2 linked regions of the Elephas maximus indicus genome follow. The protein of the gene in region 2 purifies or fractionates together with the protein of the main gene of each other region. This does not show direct contact. Links are inferred from orthologs where the notes say so. Each region holds a gene or a part of one and is shown on either strand. Other genes may lie near its edges.

What was found.
Region 1: the proteins of LUZP1 (region 2) and DAPK3 purify together in Homo sapiens (affinity purification with mass spectrometry; 3 studies listed by BioGRID and IntAct, with this or other methods). This does not show direct contact. The link is inferred for Elephas maximus indicus from reciprocal best matches to the Homo sapiens genes LUZP1 and DAPK3.

Annotation. Positions count from the first base shown.
Region 1 is NC_064821.1:7,015,711-7,025,826, forward strand, and holds the start of DAPK3 (death-associated protein kinase 3), read right to left. Parts: upstream 4,948-10,116; 5' UTR 4,839-4,947; intron 3,499-4,838; 5' UTR 3,403-3,498; coding exon 3,341-3,402; intron 1,406-3,340; coding exon 1,045-1,405; intron 1-1,044. UniProt on the Homo sapiens protein: Serine/threonine kinase which is involved in the regulation of apoptosis, autophagy, transcription, translation and actin cytoskeleton reorganization. Involved in the regulation of smooth muscle contraction.
Region 2 is NC_064821.1:63,576,565-63,586,944, reverse strand, and holds the start of LUZP1 (leucine zipper protein 1), read left to right. Parts: upstream 1-5,717; 5' UTR 5,718-5,800; intron 5,801-10,380.

The DNA.
Region 1 (10,116 bases), about 57 Mb from region 2:
ATTCTATTAAGAAAACATTCTGCATCCCACTTTGAAGTGTGGCGTCTGGGGTCTTAAATGCTAACAAGCAGCCATCTAAGATGCATCAATGAGTCTCAACCCACCTGGATCAAAGCAGAATGAAGAACACCAAGGTCACAAGGTAACTAAGAGCCCAAGAGACAGAAAGGGCCACATGAACTAGAGACTTACATCATCCTGAGACCAGAAGAACTAGATGGTGCCCGGCCACAACCGATGACTGCCCCGACAGGGAGCACAACAGAGAACCCCTGAGGGAGCAGGAGATCAGTGGGATACAGACCCCAAATTCTCATAAAAAGACCAGACTTAATGGTCTGACTGAGACTAGAAGAATCCCAGTAGTCATGGTCCCCAGACCTTCTGTTGGCCCAGGACAGGAACCATTCCCGAAGACAACTCATCAGACATGGATTGGACTGGACAATGGGTTGGAGAGAGATGCTGATGAGGAGTGAGCTACTTGTATCAGGTGGACACTTGAGACTGTGTTGGCCTCTCCTGTCTGGAGGGGACATAGGAGGATAGAGGCGGTTAGAAACTGGCAAAATGGTCAGGAAAGGAGGGACTGGAAGGAGGGAGCGGGCTGACTCATTAGGGGGAGAGTAAATGGGAGTATGGAGTAAGGTGTATATAAGTTTATATATGAGAGACTGACTTGATTTGTAAACTTTCACTTAAAGCACAATAAAAATTATTTTTAAAAAAATGGGTGGAGGTATAGAAAAAAAAGAAATGCAATCAAACATGACTAAACAAAAGACAACAACTAGGTAACGTTATCTTCATGAAACAGAGAAATGGAGCTCGGGAAGGGCTTGCTCCAGGCCCCACAGCTCACAAAGAGACAGAGGGATCCTATCCCTCAGATTCCAAGCACCTCTCCCTGGCCCCACCCTCGCCCACCTGGCCAGGGTCTCCAGCTCCGTCCTTGGGGGAAAGGGTGAAGCGTAAGGGGCAGTGCCCTGCCGTCCTTGGGGGAAAGGGTGAAGCGTAAGGGGCAGTGCCCTGCCCGCGGCTCACCTTGAGGTCGAAGTGGGCGATGCGTTTGGAGTGCAGGTAGTGGACACCATCCAGGATCTGCTTGAGGAACTGGGTGGCTTCATCCTCGGTCAGAGATTCCTTCTCGGCCAGGAAGTCGAAGAGCTCGCCGCCCGAGACCAGCTCCAGGATGAGCACCACGTCTGTCTTGTTCTCGAAGATGTCGTGCAGCGTGATGATGTTGGGGTGCCGGATCTCCCGCAGGATGTTCACCTCCCGCTCGATCTCCTCGCGGCTCACACCCCGCCGGCTGGATGACAGGCGGCGCTTCTTGATGAACTTGGCAGCGTACTCCTTCCCGGTGCCCTTCTGCCGGCACTTCCGCACGATGGCAAACTGGCCGCTGCAGGGCACCGGGGGGACAGGGAGAGGGGAGGTGGGCAGGGGGTGGGCCAGTGACCAGCTCCTCTGTGCAGAAAGCCCAGGACACACGCCCCCTGCTGGCGGAAGAGGAAACTGTACATCCTCCAACCCCATTCAGGTGCTTCTTCCAAACGCTCAGCATCCCCCTAGGAGCCCTGGTGGCGCAACAGCGAATGCTCCACTGCCAACCGAAAGGAACCCACCCAGCGGCTGCACAGGAGAAATCTGCTTCCATAAAGATTACAGCCTAGAAGACCCTATGGGGCAGTTCTACTGTCACCTGGGGTCAGCATGAGTCAGAAGGGACTTGACGGCACACAACTACAGGTGGTGCAAACAGCTCGTGCTTGGCGCTAACTGAAAGGCTACAGGTTCAAACCCACCCAGTGGCTCCCTGTAGAAAGACCTGGTGATCCGCTCCCATGAAGATTACAGTCTAGGAAGCCCCATGGAACAGTTCTACTCTGTCACATGGGGGTCACTACAAATCGGTGGTTCAGGGGCAGAATTCTCGCCTCCACGAGGGAGACCCAGGTTCGATTCCTGGCCAGTGCACCTGATGTGCAGCCACCATCCATCAGCGGAGGCTTGCACGTTGCCAGGATGCTGAACAGGTTTCCATAGAGCTCCCAGGCGAAGGCACACTAGGAAGAAACGCCTGGCGATCTGCTTCCCAAAAAGCAGCCAATGAAAACCCTGCAGATCACAATGACTGTGAGGATGGTGCAGGACCAGGCAGCGTTTTGGCCCCTTGTGCACGTGGTGGCCATGAGACAGGGGCCAACTCAACAGTGGCTAACACCGACCTCCAGCAGAAGGTCCTAATACGTTTTCAACAATAAAGTCTAAGATTTTTCCGGTTGGGGATGGGAACGGGGCTGTCTTCTCTACCCCTCTAGGGGAGGAAAGTCCTAAGGGAAGGATCTAAACCTGCACAGCCCTGACGCACGGCTCAGTTATTTACATTCCCTTCCAGTGACATCATGGGGCTGGCCTGAGGCTGCTCCAGGAAGGCCGGCCAGCAGCCGAGCTCACCAAATAAGGTTGGAGAAGCCACAAAAATGAAGGCGGGCCTGGCAGTGCCTGGCTGCTGTGGGGGGCCCAGCCAGACAGGAAATCAGCTGCCTGGCTGGAATGGGAAATCTCAGCTTTTCCCCCACAAGAATGCAAAACAATGGGCAGGGGTGTGGGTCCAGACAGGGGCTTGTCCCTTCAAACACGTAAGAGCTCAGAGAGCTCTGGAGTGCCCTGTCTCCCACGTGAGAAGACTGAAGACACGGTGGACCCTTAGTAATGAAAATAGTGAGCATCTACTGCCCTCTCCCTGGGTGGTGCTAACAGGGAGCGCACTCAGCTGCTAACCCAAAGGCTGGAAATTCGAATTCACCTAGAGGAGCCTTGGAAGAAAGACCTGGCCAATCTAACTCCAAAAAAATCAGCCATTGAAAACCGTATGGAGCACAGTTCTACTCTGACCCACGTGGGGTCACCATGAGTCAGAGTCAATTCAACAGCAACTGGCTTTATCACTCTCCTACTGTATGCAGTTCAAACCCACCCAGAGGCTCCACAGGACTAAAACCTGGCGATCTTCTCCCATAAAGATTATAGCCTGGGAAACTCTGGGGAGAAGCTCCACTCTGTCACTATGAGTCGGAATCGACTCAGTGGCATCTAACGACAACCCTGTGCCAGGCACTGTGTTAGGTGCTATCTATACCCGATTCCATTTCTCCCCAGAAGACAGGCACAGCAATGTCCCAGCAAGAATTCACAGCCAGGACCATCTGACTCCAACACCTGGCCTTGCTCCACCAGTGCATGATGCTGACTCATTTCTTCTTGAGGAGTCGGATAAGGACAGGAAATCCCCCCTCTCCTCTTCCCCTTCACCCAGGCCCCTCTGACTGCTCACCTGCCCAGTTCCTCCCCCATCTCATAGTGGTCCTCCACGTCTTCCTGCCTGAATGTAGACATGGCGGTGGCTCTGCCTTCCAGCGGCTTCTGCTCCAGTGAACACCCAGTCGCAGAGGCCTGGAGACAGGACCTGAGGGATGCCCCCTCACCGTGACCCTGGAGGAGACAGGGAAACAGCCATTGCGTCAAACACCAGCCTCATCTCCTTCCGCTGAAGCTCACTAGAGCTTCCAGACTGAGAAAGACAAGGAAGAAAGGCCTGCAGATAGACTTGTGAAAATCAACCCATGAATACCCTCTGGATCGCAATGGTCCGATCTGCAGCCCACCATGGGGATGGCTCAGGACAGAGCAGAGTTCCGTTCTGTTATCCATGGGGTCCATCGGACCCTGACAGTTCAGTGGGCAGGGTACTTTCATGTGTCACCTCACTGACATCTTAACCACTCCCAACAAGGTTGGTATGAGCCCCTACCTACCACCTCTGTCCACGCAGCCCTCCTATGCACAGTGCTCTCAGCACCGCCCCCGCCCCCACTGCTCCAGTATCTCTTTCTCTACATCTTCCTCCTAGACTTCTCTCAACTGCTCATTCCAGAACGTTCCCCCTACTCTTCCCACCCCCACTCCGAGGGCACCCTTACTCACTGCTAGCCTCCTCGTGTAAGTTCTTCTCCCAAGAGACCGCCATCTCCAAGCCCATCAGCTACCTTAACCCTGCCTCACCCTTACCTGATCCACCCCCACACACCTAAGACCCTCCTCAGAGAGGTACCCCCCCATTCTCTTGTTGGTAGGTGCCATCCAAAAGACTCCAACCCATAGTGACCCCATGTGACAGAGAAGAACTGCTCCACAGGGTTTCCTCGGCTGTCATCTTTACTGGTGTAGATCACAAAGGCTTTTCTCCAGCTGAGTAGCTGGTGGCTTCCAACCACCCACCCCTTCATTAGGACCCCAGGCCGTAACCACTGATCCCCCAACCTGACTTCCCCGGCTCCGGATAATGGCTTCCAAGCTGCTGCAAGCCCCCTACCCACTCTTGCACCCCACTTCCACTGTTCTAGAAAGACTAGGTAACCGCTTCCTCCTCCCTGCTCCAAAGAACCTCCCCCATGGATGGAAGGTCCCCCCAGCCCAGTCTCCCCAGACCCCAGGCGGGCCCCCCTTTGGCCCCTCCATTCCCCCTGCAAAAGGGCCACAGTGAGTCTCCCCCTCGACCTCCACCCCGCCCCCCATGTCCCCAGCCCCAGCACAACCTCCAAGGGCTGGCTCCAAGGGTCCCCTAGGAACACCCCTGTCTCCCGACCCCCGACGTTCCTCCTCAAGCGTTCCCGCGTCCGCCACGCCCCTCGCAGGCACGGAGCAAGCCCATTCTCCGGCCCGGTCACCCAAGAGGTCCCCAAGCCAAGCCGCCCCAGAGCCTCTCTGTCCCCCTGTCTTCCAAGGATCCTCACGCGACGCCCCAGCCCCTGCCCAGCCCGCTGGCCTCGCACCGGGTCCGCTCCACACCCTCTGCGGCCCCGAGCCCCGGCTGCTCCGCCGCCGCGCTGGCCGCCGCCTTCGCTGTCCCCGGCTCCCCAGCCTCGACCGCGGTGACGCGCCGACGTCACCGCGTCCGCCAATGCCCGGCCCCGGAACGCGGATACCCAACCCCCATTGGTTCGCGCAAACGCCGTTCGTGCCCCTCGCTCCCAGGGGCGGCTTCGCCATTGGTCGATGGGCTCGCCTTCCCGCAGCTGATTGGCTAAAAGGAACGCTGGTCAAGGTGACGGAAGTAATGCTGACTTCCGGACCCTGGACCGCCCCGCCCACCTCCCTGACCCGGGTCCTGAAGCTGCAGGGCGGGATGCTCAAGTCCTGGATCCTTGTCCTTCCTTTCTCGCGCGCAAGGTACGTTGAGTCAGAGGTCTAGCTCAGGCTAGGTGCGCGCTGCTGCTCCTGGGCTGCACCCTGGTGCTGCATGCGTCCCTGTGTTGTAGCTTTGCCCCTTGTAAAATATTATCTACATTCTAAATACCTAAATAAATGCAAATGGAGAGGTCGGTCGGATGAGGGGGAGTTTTGCTGTGAGCTGCTGCCAGTATTGCTTCTGGAACTTTCTGGGACTTCTGTTGATCTCAAGATAAATAATTAGGTTATTGTTGTGAGGTGCTGTAGAGTTGGTTCCAACTCATAGCGACCCTACATACAATGGGATGAAACACTGCCCCGACTCGCGCCATCCTCACAGTCGTTGCTTGAGCCCATTGTTGCAGCTACTGTCAACCCATCTCACTGAGCGTCTTCCTCTTTTTCGCTGATCCTTTTTCACTGATAATTAGAGCTAACATTTATTGCCCCCCACGCATATGTCAGTTTGTCATACTGTGCGGACTTGCAGGTTGATGTAATGCTAGAAACTATGCCACTGGTATTCAAATATCAGCAGGGTCATTTATGGTGGACAGGTTTCAGCTGAGCTTCGAGAGTAAGACAGACTAGGATGAAGGACCTGGCAGTCTACTTCTGAAAAAAAACTAGCCAATGAAAATCTTACGAATAGCACCAGAACAGTGTCTGATATAGTGCTGGAAGATGAGCCCCCCAGGTTGGAAGGCACTGAAAAGACGACTGGGGAAGAGCTGCCTCCTCAAAGTAGAGTCAACCTTAATGCCGTGGATGGAGTCAAGCTTTCGGGACCTTCATTTGCTGATGTGGCACGACTCAAAATGAGAAGAAACAGCTGCAAACATCCATTAATAATCGGAACCTTGAATGTACGAAGTATGAATCTAGGAAAATTGGAAGTTGTGAAAAATGAGATGGAACATATAAACATCGATATCCTAGGCATTAGTGAGCTGAAATGGATTCATTTTGGCCACTTTGACTCAGACAACCCTGTGGTCTACTATGCCGTGGTCTACTATGCCAAAGTCTACTATGCCAGAAATAACAAATTCAAGAGGAATAGCGTCACATTCATCAATAAAAAGAACATTTCAGGATCTATCCTGAAGTACAATACTATCAGTGATAGGATAATATCCAACATATATATATATGTATATATATATATCCATCTGTCTGCAAAGAAGACCAGTTAATACGACTATTATTCAAATTTACACACCAACCACTAAGGCCCAAGATTAAACTGTTGAAGATTTTACCAACTTCTGCAGTCTGAAATTGATCAAACATGCAATCAAGATACATTGATAATTACTGGTGATAAGAATGCAAAAGTTGGAAATGAAGAAGGATTGGTAGTTGGAAAAAATGGCCTTGGTGATAGAAATGACACTGGATCACATGATAGAATTTTGCAAGACCAATGACTTCTTCATTGTGTATACCTTTTTTCAACAACATAAGTGGTGACTATATACAAGGACCTCGCCAGATGGAACACGCAGGAATCAAACCAACTACATCTGTGGAAAGAAACAAAGGAAAAGCTCGATATCATCAGTCAGAACAAGGCCAGGATCCGACTATGGAACAGTCCATCCATTACTCATATGCAAGTTCAAGTTGAAGCTGCAGAAAATTAGAACTAAGTCCATGAGAGCCAAAGTACGACCTTGAGTATATCCCACCTGAATTTAGAGGCCATCTCAAGAACAGATTTGATGCATTGAACACTAACGGCGGAACACCAGGGGAGTTGTGGAATGACATCAAGGAATCATGCATGAAGAAAGCAAGAGGTCATTAAAAAGGAAGGAAAGAAAGAAAAGACCAAAATGGATGTCAGAAGAGACTCTGCAACTTGCTCTTGAATGTCAAGTAGCTAAAGCAAAAGGAAAAAATGATGAAGTAAAAGAGCTGAACAGAAGATTTCAAAGGTCAACTCGAGAAGACAAAGTAAAGTATTATAATGAAATGTGCAAAAGACCTGGAGATAGAAAACCAAAAGGAAAGAACACACTTGGCATTTCTCAAGCTGAAAGAACTGAAGAAAAAATTCAAGCCGTAAGTTGCAATATTGAAGGATTCTGCAGGGAAAATACTAAACTGCAGAAAGCATCAAAAGAAGATGGAAGGAATACACAGAGTCACTGTACCAAAAAGAACTGGTCAACATTCAACTATTTCAGGAGGTAGCATATGATCAGGAACCGATGGTACTTAAAGAACTCCAAGCTGCGCCAAAGACATTGTCAAGAAACAAGGCTTCAGGAATTGATAGAATACCAACTGAGATGTTTCCACAAACAGATGCAGCCCTGGAAGTGCTCACTCATCTATGCCAAGAAATTTGGAAAACAGCTTCCTGGCCAACCGACTGGAAGAGATCTGTATTTGTATCCATTCCCAAGAAAGATGATCCAACAGAATGCAGAAATTATCAAACAGTATCATTAAGATCACACACAAGTAAAATTTTACTGAAGATCATTCAAAAGCAGTTGCAGCAGTACATCCACAGGGAACTTCCAGAAATTCAAGCCAGATCCAGAAGAGGGGGTGGAACCAGGGATATCATTGCTGATGTCAGATGGATCCTGGCTGAGAGCAGAGAACACCAGAAGGATGTTTACCTGTGTTTTATTGACTATGCAAAGGCATTTGACTGTGTGGATCATAACAAACTACGGATAACATTGTGAAGAATAGGAATTCCAGAACACTTCATTGTGCTCATGAGGAACCTTTACATAGATCAAGAGGCAGTCTTTTGAACAGAACAAGGGGATACTGTGTGGTTTAAAGTCAGGAAAGGTGTACGGCAGGGTTGTATTCTTATTCAATCTGTATGCTGAGCAAATAATCCAAGAAGCTGGACTACACGAAGAAGAACAGGGCATCAGGATTAGAGGAAGACTCATTAACAACCTGCGATATGCAGATGACACAACCTTACTTTCTGAAAGTGAAGAAGACTTCAGGCACTTACTAATCAAAGACCACAGCCTTCAGTATGGATTACAGCTCAACATAAAGAAAACAAAAGTCCTCACTACTGGACCGATAAGCAGCATCATGATAAACAGAAAAGATTGAAGCTGTCAAGGATTTCATTTTACTTGGATCCATAATCAACGCCCATGGAAGCAGCAGTCAAGAAATCAAAGGATGCATCGCATTGTATTAAAAAGCAAAGATGTCACTTTAAGGACTAAGGTGTGCCTGACCCAAGCCATGGTATTTTCAGTCACCTCATATGAATGTGAAAACTGGAGAATGAATAAGGAAGACCAAAGAAGAATTGACACCTTTGAATTGTGTTGGCAAAGAATATTGAATATACCACGGACTGCCAAGAGAACAAACAAATCTGTCTTGGATGAAGTACAGTCAGAATGCTCCTTAGAAGCAAGGATGGCAAGACTACATTTCACATACTTTGGACATTATCAGGAGGGATCAGTTCCTGGAGAAGGACATCATGCTTGGTAAACCAGAGGGTCAACAAAAAAGAGGAGGACCCTCAACGAGATGGACTGACACAGTGGCTGCAACAATGGGCTCAAGCATAATGACAATTCTGAGGATGGCACAGGACCAAGCAGTGTTTCATTTGGTTGTACACAGGGTTGCTGTGGGTCGGAACTGACTTGATGGTGCCCAACAACAACAACAGTCTTTAAGTAAGCAGATTGCCAGGTCTTTCTTCCATGGAGCTGCTGGATGGGTTCTAATCACCAACCTTTCTGTTAGCAGCCAAGTGCTTAACCGCTGTGCCACTAGGGCTCTTTGTCACAACCAATGGCCTAATGATAGATTAGTATTAACCCAAGTCCATACTTTATTCAGAATTTCTGTTTTTTCCTGATATCCTTTTTCTGTACCAGGATCCCACGTCTGCACAGGCTCCTCTGACAAAACTGCTTTATGTTAAAAATGTGCAAAACTAAATGTAATGTGAGATCCTGAATTGGATTCTGGAGCAGAAAAAAAGGATATTACTGGAAAATCATGGCATCTGCATCAACTCAGTCATTTAGTTGATAGAACCCCGGTAGTGTGATGTTTAAACATTCAGCTGCTAACCAAAATGTTGGAGGTTCAAATCCACCCAGCAGCTGAGTAGAAGAAAGGCCTGGCAATCTGCTCCCGTAAAGATTACAGCCTAGAAAACCCTGTGGGGCCGTTCTGCTCTGTCACGGAATCGACTCGCCAGCACACGACGTTTCTCTCTTAGCTCTGACTGATGCACCATGGTGATGTAAGCTGTGAACGTGGGGGAAGCTGGATGCGGGGTAGACTGGAACTCTCTGTAATATCTTTGCAGCTTTTCTGTACCTCTAAATTTAGTCAAAAATAATCTTTTAAAGTGAAAAAAAATACTTTGAGTGGGTACGTCAGGCAATGTCTTTTTTTTTTTATTAACTTTTATTGAGCTTCAAGTGAACGTTTACAAATCAAGTCAGTCTGTCACATATAAGTTTATATACACCTTACTCCGTACTCCCACTTGCTCTCCCCCTAAGGAGTCAGCCCTTCCAGTCTCTCCTTTCGTGACAATTTTGCCAGCTTCCAACTCTCCCTATCCTCCCACCCCCTCTCCAGACAGGAGATGCCAACACAGTCTCAAGTGTCCACCTGATATAATTAGCTCACTCTTCATCAGCATCTCTCTCCTACCCACTGTCCAGTCCCTTTCATGTCTGATGAGTCGTCTTCGGGGATGGTTCCTGTCCTGGGCTGACAGAAGGTTTGGGGACCATGACTGCCGGGATTCCTCTAGTCTCAGTCAGACCATTAAGTATGGTCTTTTTATGAGAATTTGGGGTCTGCATCCCACTGATCTCCTGCTCCCCCAGGGGTTCTCTGTTGTGCTCC
Region 2 (10,380 bases):
TTGTTCAAGCCACTTGCTTGTGAGGGAGCTGTTGCAGATAGGTAACTGTCCCAACCTACGTTGGGCATAAAAGCGGTTTGATTGATTTTTCTTCAGGAAATCTATTGCTGTTGAGCTTGGTAGTTTTCCAAAATATCTAGGGAATCCAGTGCTTGAGACTGAGAAATTAGAATTAAGTCTACATTGTTGAATCAACCCCCTGAGGAATTTTTCTAAACCTTTCTGAGAAAGATTTAGCATTTTTGTGCAATCTATTTCATATTCCTGGACAAGACTTAAATTAAAACGTGGTACTTGAGGTTGAGTGGGCTGCCCAGGGGGATGCCATAATCTTACTTGCAGGGCTTGTTTAAAGGCAATATTAGAATTTACAGTAGCATTAGGTTGTCGTGTTGTTGTTAGGTGCCATTGAGTCAGTTCTGACTCATAGCGACCCTATGTACGAGAGAATGAAACACTGCCTGATCCTGCGCCATCATTACAATCATCGTTTCGCCTGAGCCCATTGTTGCAGCCACTGTGTCAGTCCGTCTCATTGAGGGTCTTCCTCTGTTTCGCTGAACTTCTACTTTACCAAGCGTGATGCCCTTCTCCAGAGACTGATCCCTCCTGATAACATGTCCAAAGTATGTGAGACGTAGTTTCGCCATTCTTGCTTCCAAGGAGCATTCTGGTTATACTTCTTCCAAGACAGACTTGTTCATTCTTTTGGCAGTCCATGGTATATTCAATATTTTTAACCAACACCCCAATTCAAAAGTGGCAGTTCTTTGGTCTTTCTTATTCATCATCCAGCTTCTGTGTGCATATGAAATGATTGAAAACACCATGGCTTGGGTCAGGGGCACCTTAGTCTTCAAGGTGACATCTTTGCTTCTTAACACTTTAAAGAGGTCTTTTGCAGCAGATTTGCCCAATGCAATGCATCATTTGATTTCTTGACTGCTGTAACCATGGGTGTTGATTGTGGATGTAAGTAAAATGAAATCCTTTTCTCCTTTTATCATGATGTTGCTTATTGGTCCAGTTGTGAGGATTTTTGTTTTCTTTATGTTGAGATATAATCCACACTGAAGGCTGTAGTCTTTGATCTTAATCAGTAAGTGCTTCGAGTCCTCTTCACTTTCGGCAAGCAAGGTTGTGTGATCTGCACAACACAGGTTGTTAATGAGTCTTCCTCCAATCCTGATGCCACGTTCTTTTTCATATAGTCCAGCTTCTTGGATTATTTGTCAGCATAAAGATTGAATAAAAATGGTGAAAGGATACAACCCTGATGTACACCTTTCATGACTTCAAACCATGCAGTATCTACTTGTTATGCCTGAACAACTCCCTCTTGATCTATATACTGTGTCTTCATGAGCTCAATTAGGTAGGAAACTGCAATTTAACAGGACGGGTTAATGGGTCTGAATTCTCATGCCCAGATTGAGGATGGAAATGACAGATCCAGCAATTAGTTAGGGTTCCAGCTCTGGCCACTGCCTGGGCTAAAGTGACAAACGCATTCTTTTTGCAAGTGTTGATGGGAATTAGGGAAAGCAACAAAAGAAAACTTAAGAAGAGCTCCATCATGGAGGAAAACCATCCAAAAAATAATATGACAAAGTAAACAGTAGAAAAACAACTACTATAAAACAAAATCCAGCAACGTCAATGTCTTGCGTACGTAATTACCAAGCAATATAACCAAGTTGGTATAATAAAGCAATTTCAAAGGTGATAAATATTAAGCAAAGTCCAACAGTTTCAGCAACTGGCATTACCAAGTAATGATACCAACTTGGTATAGTAAGGCAATCAATGTCAAAAGTCTGGTAAGCAGGAATGAGAGTCCAAAGATTTCGTTCCACACATACTTGCACTTGAAAAAATATGAAATATAAACAAAGCACTTAACTTGCATAAGATATCCTGGGGTACCCTTACTCCGCAGAGGTGGAGAAACTGTTGTTAAGAGTTCAGTGACTTGCCCAAGGCCACCCGGCTAATAATGGCTGCCTGAGTATATAGCTCATTCACTTCCAAATTCAGCCCATTTCCTCCAGGACTTCTTGTACAGGTCTTGATTTGGATTCCACTAGACTTGTCCTCTCTGAACCTTGGGTCCTCAGCTGCAAAATACCAATAATGACCCCTTATAGCCTATATGGAGCCTTGGTGGCACAGTGGTTAAGCATTTGGCTGCTAACCAAAAGGTTAACAGTTCAAATCCACCAGCCACTCCTTGGAAACCCTACAGAGCAGTTCTACTCTGTTCTGTAGTGTCACTGTGAGTCAAAATTGACTCAACAGCAACTTGACAGTGACATCCCTTGGTGGTACAAATGGTTTGCACTCAATTACTAACCTAAAGGTTGGTGGTTCGACCCAAACAACAGTGTCATGGAAGAAAGACCTGGTGATCTGCTTCCGTAAAGACTACAGCCAAGAAAATCTTATGGAGCAGTTCTACTCTGTAACACACGGCATTGCCTTCAGTCCAAATTGACTCTATGGCAAAGGTTTATAACTTATGTATTGTCTTCAAACTGATCAAGGTGAACCAACATCGGCTTGGTTGGCTTTCTTTTTATGTTTATCTTTACTGCTTTTTTTTTCTGATGACAAAGAAATACATGCTCCTTGTAAAAAATTTAAATTGCAGGAAGATATAATGAGTAAAAATGAAAGTGCAAGTCTAGGCGCAGTAGGCACAAGGTGCTGATATACTGTTATACTTTGGGAGGTGGGGGCAGGGCATGAGACAGGGAGCAAAAAATTCTTCCTGCTTAAAAATCTCTCCTATTGGTCTCAACACAGTTCCTGGACGTTCTGCTAGGTGTTTAGCCATGAAAGTTCAAGTGCAACCAAATAATGGGGTAGGGGGAGAAGGTGAGAATTGTTTGGGTGGGGGCTGTGCTTAGAATCCCAGGAGGAATGGGAGGAACCTGTGAACTTCCTATGGCAGTATGCATATTTAGCTCAGATGCCCACTATTGATATGCCTTGTAGCTATGTTTTCATCCCCTTTCCTCCCTCTTAGCATTTAGTAGTCCGTTTTGAAAGTTTCTACTACACACACACACACACACACACACACACACACACAGACAAAAGCAAAGCACAAAGAAAAAGGGCGAAAGTCCCTCTATTTAGATTTCTATATTCTCCACTTTTTTATGAATCTCCTTTTTTTTTTTTTTTTTTACTAAGCGTATGTAAGTCATAAACATGGGCTCCTACTACCCATTACATTCTGAAACTTACTCTTTTCACTTAACAATACCCAGTAGACAACTTTTCTTGCCTATTTATACCAATCTATCCCATTCCTTTTATTGACTGAGCTGCTTGAGGGCAGGACATTTAGCCCTACTTGCAGCCCATAGGCCAGCACATGGGAGGCCCTTACTGGGAGTACGTGTTGAAATGTCACAGCAGCTACCGTATCTTGGTATGAACTAGATGCCAGGCTCTGTGCTAAGCTCTTTCACACATTATTTTATTTAATCCTTACAGTCACTCTGTGAGGTAGGTTCTATGAGTACTCCCATTTTGCAGAGGATAAACTGAGGTTCAGAGACTTGAAAGCCCAAGGCCACACAGTTGGTTAGTGGTGGAGCTGGGATTTTAATCCTGATGGGTTGTGTGCCAAAGCATGTGTGGTGAATGAATGACTAAGTAGTTGATGGGGCCATGGGTCCTGGGGAGAAAGTTCTGTCTTTAGATGCTTCCCTGTATATACGTTTTTTGTATATACTGAGTTCTCATCAGCACATAGCAGGAACTCCCTAAAGGCCCTTTCCTTGCCTGCAGCAATCCTGTGGCCATGCCTACTTTTCATGGCAAGTGGCATTTTTTGAATCTTCTATTCTAAAAATAAGCCACACGTTGTTAGGGGCGCATGAGGACCAGCCCAGGCATTTCAGGACAACCATTTGCCTGTCCGCAGCGCAGGAAATTAATCAGAACCCCAAAGCCCTTCCCCTCTTCCCACAGGCCAGCGCTCTGGAAACGCCCAGTGCCTCACTGCAGCTCTTCTAGAGGACTGCAGACAGGCCAAGGGCAGTTTAACCCAGATCCATTTCTCTGTAAGGAAAGCGAGAGCAGAAAGGCACGAAGGAGAAACGGGTCAGCTCTTCTGCAAAGAACTTGCAGAGAGAGAGCTGTGCAGCTGTCCCCAACTTGGAGGGGTGCGGAGTGACAGGCACTCTGGGGCATCAAATGTGACTCTGCAGAATTCACCTGGGGCCTGGAGTCTCCAGTGCTGGTTCCTGTTCTAACGGCAATGTGTGGTAGGGCTGCTTGCTACAAGCCTCTTCCTCTCTCAGGATCCCCAAATCTCCCTCTGCAAAATGATTGGGTGAATTATTGCTGTGTACTCTGTCCTATAAGGTCGCTATGAGTCGGAATCCACTCGACCGCACTGGGTTTTCTGGGTAGTGTTCAGTGCTAGATATAGTACTGATGATAATAATACTAAGGAAAATAAGAATAACAACGACATCCTTTGTGGAACACTGTGCCTGGTGCTTTCCACACAGCATCTTATGTAATTTTAAAACAAACCCTATAAGGACCACATTATTACGCCCATTTTGCGGGTGAGGAGACTGAGGATCACAGAGAACTAGTAGGGGCCAGGAGAACCCCAGCTCCACAAAAATGTGTGAGTTTTGACCTCTAGGAAGTGCTAAGGAACAAACTGGGGCAGCGTGCGTGACTATGCCCTTAAAAGCGATACTGCCAATATTCAAAGGGGCATTCGGAGCAGGGAGTAGGCTTCTGGCTGGGGAAACCAGGAAGCTGCACACGGAGATGAGAAGCAAGGGAAGATCATGAGCAAAGGGGGAAATGTGGGAAAGCAGTGGGTGTGTTAGGGCAAGTTTGGCTAACCTTTACTCCGTGTGTGTGTGTGTGCGCGCATGGCCTGTGTATCTGGAAAAGTAGGAAGCGCTCAGACTGGACCAAGACTTTGGCCTTTATTCCTTCAAGAGATGTCTCAAGAGATGAGCTATGCTGCTGCAGTTGGAAAGCAAGCGCCGTCAGCGCATCTGTGTCCTGGCTTGTGAGTGCCGCTCCGTGCCAGTGAGCGCGTGGGAAGGCATCCGCCTGGGAGAGCGTGTCTCCTGCTGTGTCCTGTACCTTGCTGGGTGTGGCGCTTGGGCTCCCGTCAAAGGTTCCCCCCACTTCTCTGGACACTAGGTACCTTGCACATAGTAGGCCCACAGGAACTATGTCATAAAGCTATCGAAGGGATTTTTTTTTTTTCTTTTCCTTTCCTCTGTTGGACGGACTTCTGAGAACATCTAGTCATCACTCCTTCCCAGTTTAATGAAGGTATAAGTGGGGAATACAGATGGGAAGAGACTCCTCTAGGGTCACAACGAATTAATAGCTGTTCTGGGAACTGGAAGTCATGGCTCCTGAGTTCAAGCGGAGTTCCTTTTCCATAGGCTCAGGGCTAAGCACCTTTACATGAAGTACCTCACTGAAGCCTCATGACCCCCCTATCAGAGCACCCTTTCGAAAGCAGGGTGTCTTGCCTTCCGTTTCTGTTTCCCCTCGCGCCTAACACAGGCCCCGGTCACCTAGGCAATAAAAACTTCTCCCAGTCCAAGTAAGGGGGAGGAAGGCCGGAGGGGGCGGGGCGTTGTGGAAGCCCCGCCCCTCTAAGCAGGTCCCTCCCCCGGTCCCTGACGTTGCCCTGGCCCCGCCCCTCATTGTCAGTCCGGGGGAGCCGGAGGAGGCGCCGGCCGCCGGGAGCCCAGCGCGGAGCCCAGCGCGGAGCCCAGCGCGGCCCGGAGCTGCGGAGGTGAGGGGTCCGCGGGGAGGCTGCGGGAGCTGGTCGGGGGCGCGGCGCGGGCGGCCGGGGCGTGCGGCGGGAGAGGAGGGCGGCCAGAGGGGTCGGGGCGGCCGGGGGCTTCGGGGCAGAGCCGGGGGGCGACCCGGGGGGGAGCCGCGGCTGGGGGGTGGGATAAGAGTGTGAGCGGCTTTCTGGATGGAGATGGGGGCGAGCTGCTGAGGGGGAATCTTCGGGGCGAGACCTGGAGGTTTTTTCTGGAGTTGGAGGAAGAGAATCCGAGGGGGTTTTCTTTCGGAGGCGGAGGGAGGTTCGGAGGGGACTTCTCGGTGGGAGAGAAATGCTGGGGGCGCAGCTGGGGAGACGTTTTCAGGGGGCGAGGCTCCCAGAAGAGTTTCGAGGGTCGGGGCCGGCTGCGGGGGCGCGCGTGGGAAGCGGTGCGCTGGCGCGGGCCGGTGGGGGCGGGGAGCGGCGCGGCGCGGCCGGGTGGGGGGCCGGGGCGCCGGGGAGGGGGCTGCGCGGGGCCCGGCGGGCACCGGGGAGGAAGGAAGTGATCATACAGGAAGAGCCGGGAGCTCCCGAGGAGGAGGAGGAGGAGAGGAGGAGGAGGAGGAGGAGGAGTGGGGGGGAGGTCCGGGAGCGCGGCGGCCGGCGTGCGGGACGGGCTGTGGGGGCGCGGGGGCGCGGGCCGGGGAGGGGTCCCGCCGCGGGCGCAGCTGTCGGCGGCGCGGGCCGGTGTCCCGAGCGATGCCGCGCTCGAAGCCAGACCACTGGGCCGGGAAGGAATGCGAGGCATTCGCTTTGTTTAAGTTGCCAGTAGACAGTCCTGAGGACTAATTAATGGTGGAATCTGCAGGGGGACGCGGCCAGCCGGCCCGGGCCGCCCCCCGCGCGCCGCCGCGGCCAACTTTCCGCAGCGCGCCGCCCGCCTCCTGCGCACCCCGCCCCCGGCCGCCGGGAAGGGGGCCGTGGCTCCCCAAACGCTGGAGCCAAGTGAGGTTTCTGGGGCCCGTGGCCTCTGGCTGCCCAGGCGGCCTTCAGGGAGCCCGGCGTCCCGGCGTGGTCGGGTTGGGGGCTCGGAGCCCCGTGGAGAGCTCTCTGAGGTGCCTGCGGTTTCGGTTAATAACCTGGGAGGAGACTCTGCAAGCCGAGGAAGACCATCTCGCTGCTTTGGAGCATCTGTTTCTTCATCGCGTCAGCCCCTTTCCTAACACTGCAGTGCTTGTTGTGGCTTGTTTCGGAAATGCCGAGGCCAGTGCTCACACTTGAGGGTGGGAAGGGGGAGAGGATAGGCACCCCAAAAGAACCTGCAGTGTGATCTCCAGGAGACCAGAGACTGCTTGCAGATTCTCCCTCGCACCTTCACTGACTTGAATGACCTTGGGGAAGGGATTGTGCTTCTGAGCGCCTGGCGCCTTATCTGTCCTTTGAAGAGAAAATACTCCCTGGACCTCCCTGCCTTTTGGGAATATTTTGAGGGGTGGGGTTTGTTGGAGATACTTCTATACAAGTTGCTGCAGCTCTGGCCTAGAGAGCAGGACTTGTGTCAGAGCAGGGAGAGTTGAGGTCACCCACTAAGATTTTACTGCCTCAGATAGGGAGGGAGGGGTTTGGATGTTAGGAGGATATTTCTTTAAGGAGAACCCGGATAGTATGTTCTAGATTGCTTTCCATCACTTTGTGTGCAGGATTGTTGGCATTCGAGTGGTTAAATTGAATAACCTCCATAGAAAATTCTTCGCTTGTCAGAGATAATTATTTTGCTCAGAATTCCCCTTGGGGCAGATTAAGGTTTTGGTCGATTTACTCAGAAGAATTTTCAAGGTTTCTAAAATTAAATCACTTTTCTAAACATAGTAACTAAAGTTTAAAAAACTGGAAGTAGTGGGATAGAAGGGGAGGGGGCTGGAGTGTGGACAAAGCAAATACAGGTTCATTGTTGACCTTCGATTGGTAATCTAGTTTGTGAGTTTGCTTTCCTTGGTTATTAGGTGTTAGTCTTAAATAATTTAAGTTGAAGAAAGAGAGCTAATATTGTTGAGTTGCCTTCTGTGTGCCCAGTAATTGTGCTAGATGGTTTATTTCTCATATCATTGGCATCCCAGTTTTACAGACGAGCTAACCTGAGGTTCAGAAAGGCAAAGTGACTTTCCCAAGAAGAAGTGGAGCTGCAGTTCAAACCCGTCTCTGTTTCTAAGGTCCATGGTTATTTCCACTCTGCATACTGCCTTGGGAACCAGGAGACTTAGTTTCTAGTCTGTGACTCAGCCTCTGGGTTACTGTGGACCTTAGAAAAAGTCAGCTAAGTCTATTCTCCAGTAACATTGGCTTCTTTTCTTTGAGCGATGTTGTCAGTATGCTTCTGAGGTTTTCGAGTTTTTTAGTAGAAAGACAAACATGTAAGACTGTGGTAGGAGTATGTCTTATATGCACTATGTGCTTAGAAATTTTTTGCTTGTGATGGACTCATTTGTATTAGAATATAGAATTATCGGATTTCATAAGATGTCATTTAGGTAATGGGAGATGGTGGGCAGCTAATGGCCCTTCCACTGTAGAGGTCAACATTAAGATGATATTTATGATCAGAAACGGAATGATTTTTCATGTAACATGACTTTTTGGGACAGTGTTGGCTTATGAGTAAAGCACACTGCCGGTAAAACCCAAATAGTCCAAGTTGGAAGATTTGGTGTGAACTTTGACCCACATAACTATTTGCTGAATGAATGCATTCTTAAAAAAAAAAAAAAGGGCTTTATTGAGCTATAATTTACATACAATAAATTTCATCAGTTTTAAACATACAGTTTGATGAGGTTTGACAAATGTGTACAGTTGTGTAACACTGTCACCGCCTTTGTTCTTTTGAACTCTTGTGTTATCTCTTAGGAATCATGTAGCAGGGTAATCCCTGGGGATACGAGGTTTCTGTGCTCAGATTTGGAGTCCCTGGGTGGTGCAGATGGTTAACATGGTTGGCTCCTAACCATAGGGTTGGAGGTTCAAGTCTACTCAGAAGTCCATTGGAAGAAAGGGCTGGCAATCTACTTCTGAAAAATCAGTCATTGAAAACACTATGGAGCACAGTTTTACTTTGACACACATGGCACTGTCATGAGTCAGAATTGACTCAGGGGCACCTGGTTCTGCTCAGGTTCAGTCCTGGTTCAATCAGAGTGAAAGTCTGCGTGCCAACTTAGTAGGAACCAGGAGAGCTTAGGTGTTTAATGGTGAGGTGAGTGAGAAGAACAAGAGAGGTAGAGATGGGGACACTTGTCAGGTCAGGGGAAGGATGAATACATTTGGGAGGAACCCGATTTAGTTTCTTCTAGGACAGAAACACATTGTGACGGAAAAAAATTACCGAAAGTTTGATTAAGGAGTTGAATTTAATTTTTGTTTCCTTTTTTGAAATGGTAGCTCCTGAAATACAAAGCTTAACATCTTTGGCTATACCTAAGAAATACTTAACACTTTGTGGTGGTTCAAATAATGCTTAAGGGTGGGGGTGCTGTAAAGTGATTGACGGCCTTGCACTTGCACCTGTGAGAGAATATCCCCAGTGTTATCTCTAACTTAGCTGATATTCTACAAAGGAAAATACATTAGGCAGGAATTGCGACTTTCTGGGAAGATAAAAGATTATTTTTTTTTCTTCTCGTAATTTTTCAAGTTATGGAACCTGTCCAGATCTGCTTTAACTCGTACTAGAAAATGCATGAAACCTGTGCTACTTAGCTTCTAGAAACACCATTTCTACCACTTAGTCGTTCTTGTTCCTCTTTATCCACTCTATTTCTGTGTGTTGACTATCTTATAATTCCTTTCTCCCACCCATGAATTCATCTGAGAATGAAAACTCTGGTTACATCAGCCATCAACTCTCCAAATACCATTAAACCAAAACCAGAGTCACTGCTGTCAAGTTGATTCGGACTCATAGGGATCTTGAAGAACAGAGTAGAACTGCCCCATGGGATTTCCAGGGCTGTAAAACTGTATGGAAGCAGACTGCCACATCTTTCTCCACGGAGCCGCTGGTGCGTTTGAACCCCCTGATTTTTCGGTTAGCAGCTGAGTGCTTTTTAACCACTGTGGTACCAGGGCTCCTCTGGATACCATTAGAAAATAATAAATTAAAATGCACTCCAGATTACCAGCTCGACATTTTGGGTAGCTGTAGGGAGAAACCCTGGTGGCGTAGTGGTTAAGTGCTACGGCTGCGAACCAAAAGATCGGCAGTTTGAATCCGCCAGGCGCTCCTTGGAAACTCTATGGGGGCAGTTCTGCTCTGCCCTATAGGGTTGCTATGAGTCGGAATTGACTCGAGGCGCTGGGTTTTATAGGGAGAAAATAACAACCCAGTGAAATAGTTATCTTCATTTTATAGACAAGGGAGCTAAGCTCAGGGCAGTTATTGTCAGAGCTAGAGAAGGATAGAGCATTGATTTGAGCTCAGATGCGACTGATGCTAAAATCTGGGATCTTTCTATTATGTCACACTCTGGTGTATTGGGTGAGGGCAAGGCCAAGGAAAGAGCTTGACAGTACAATATTAAGATATAAGTCACAGCGTGACAAGCATTGCT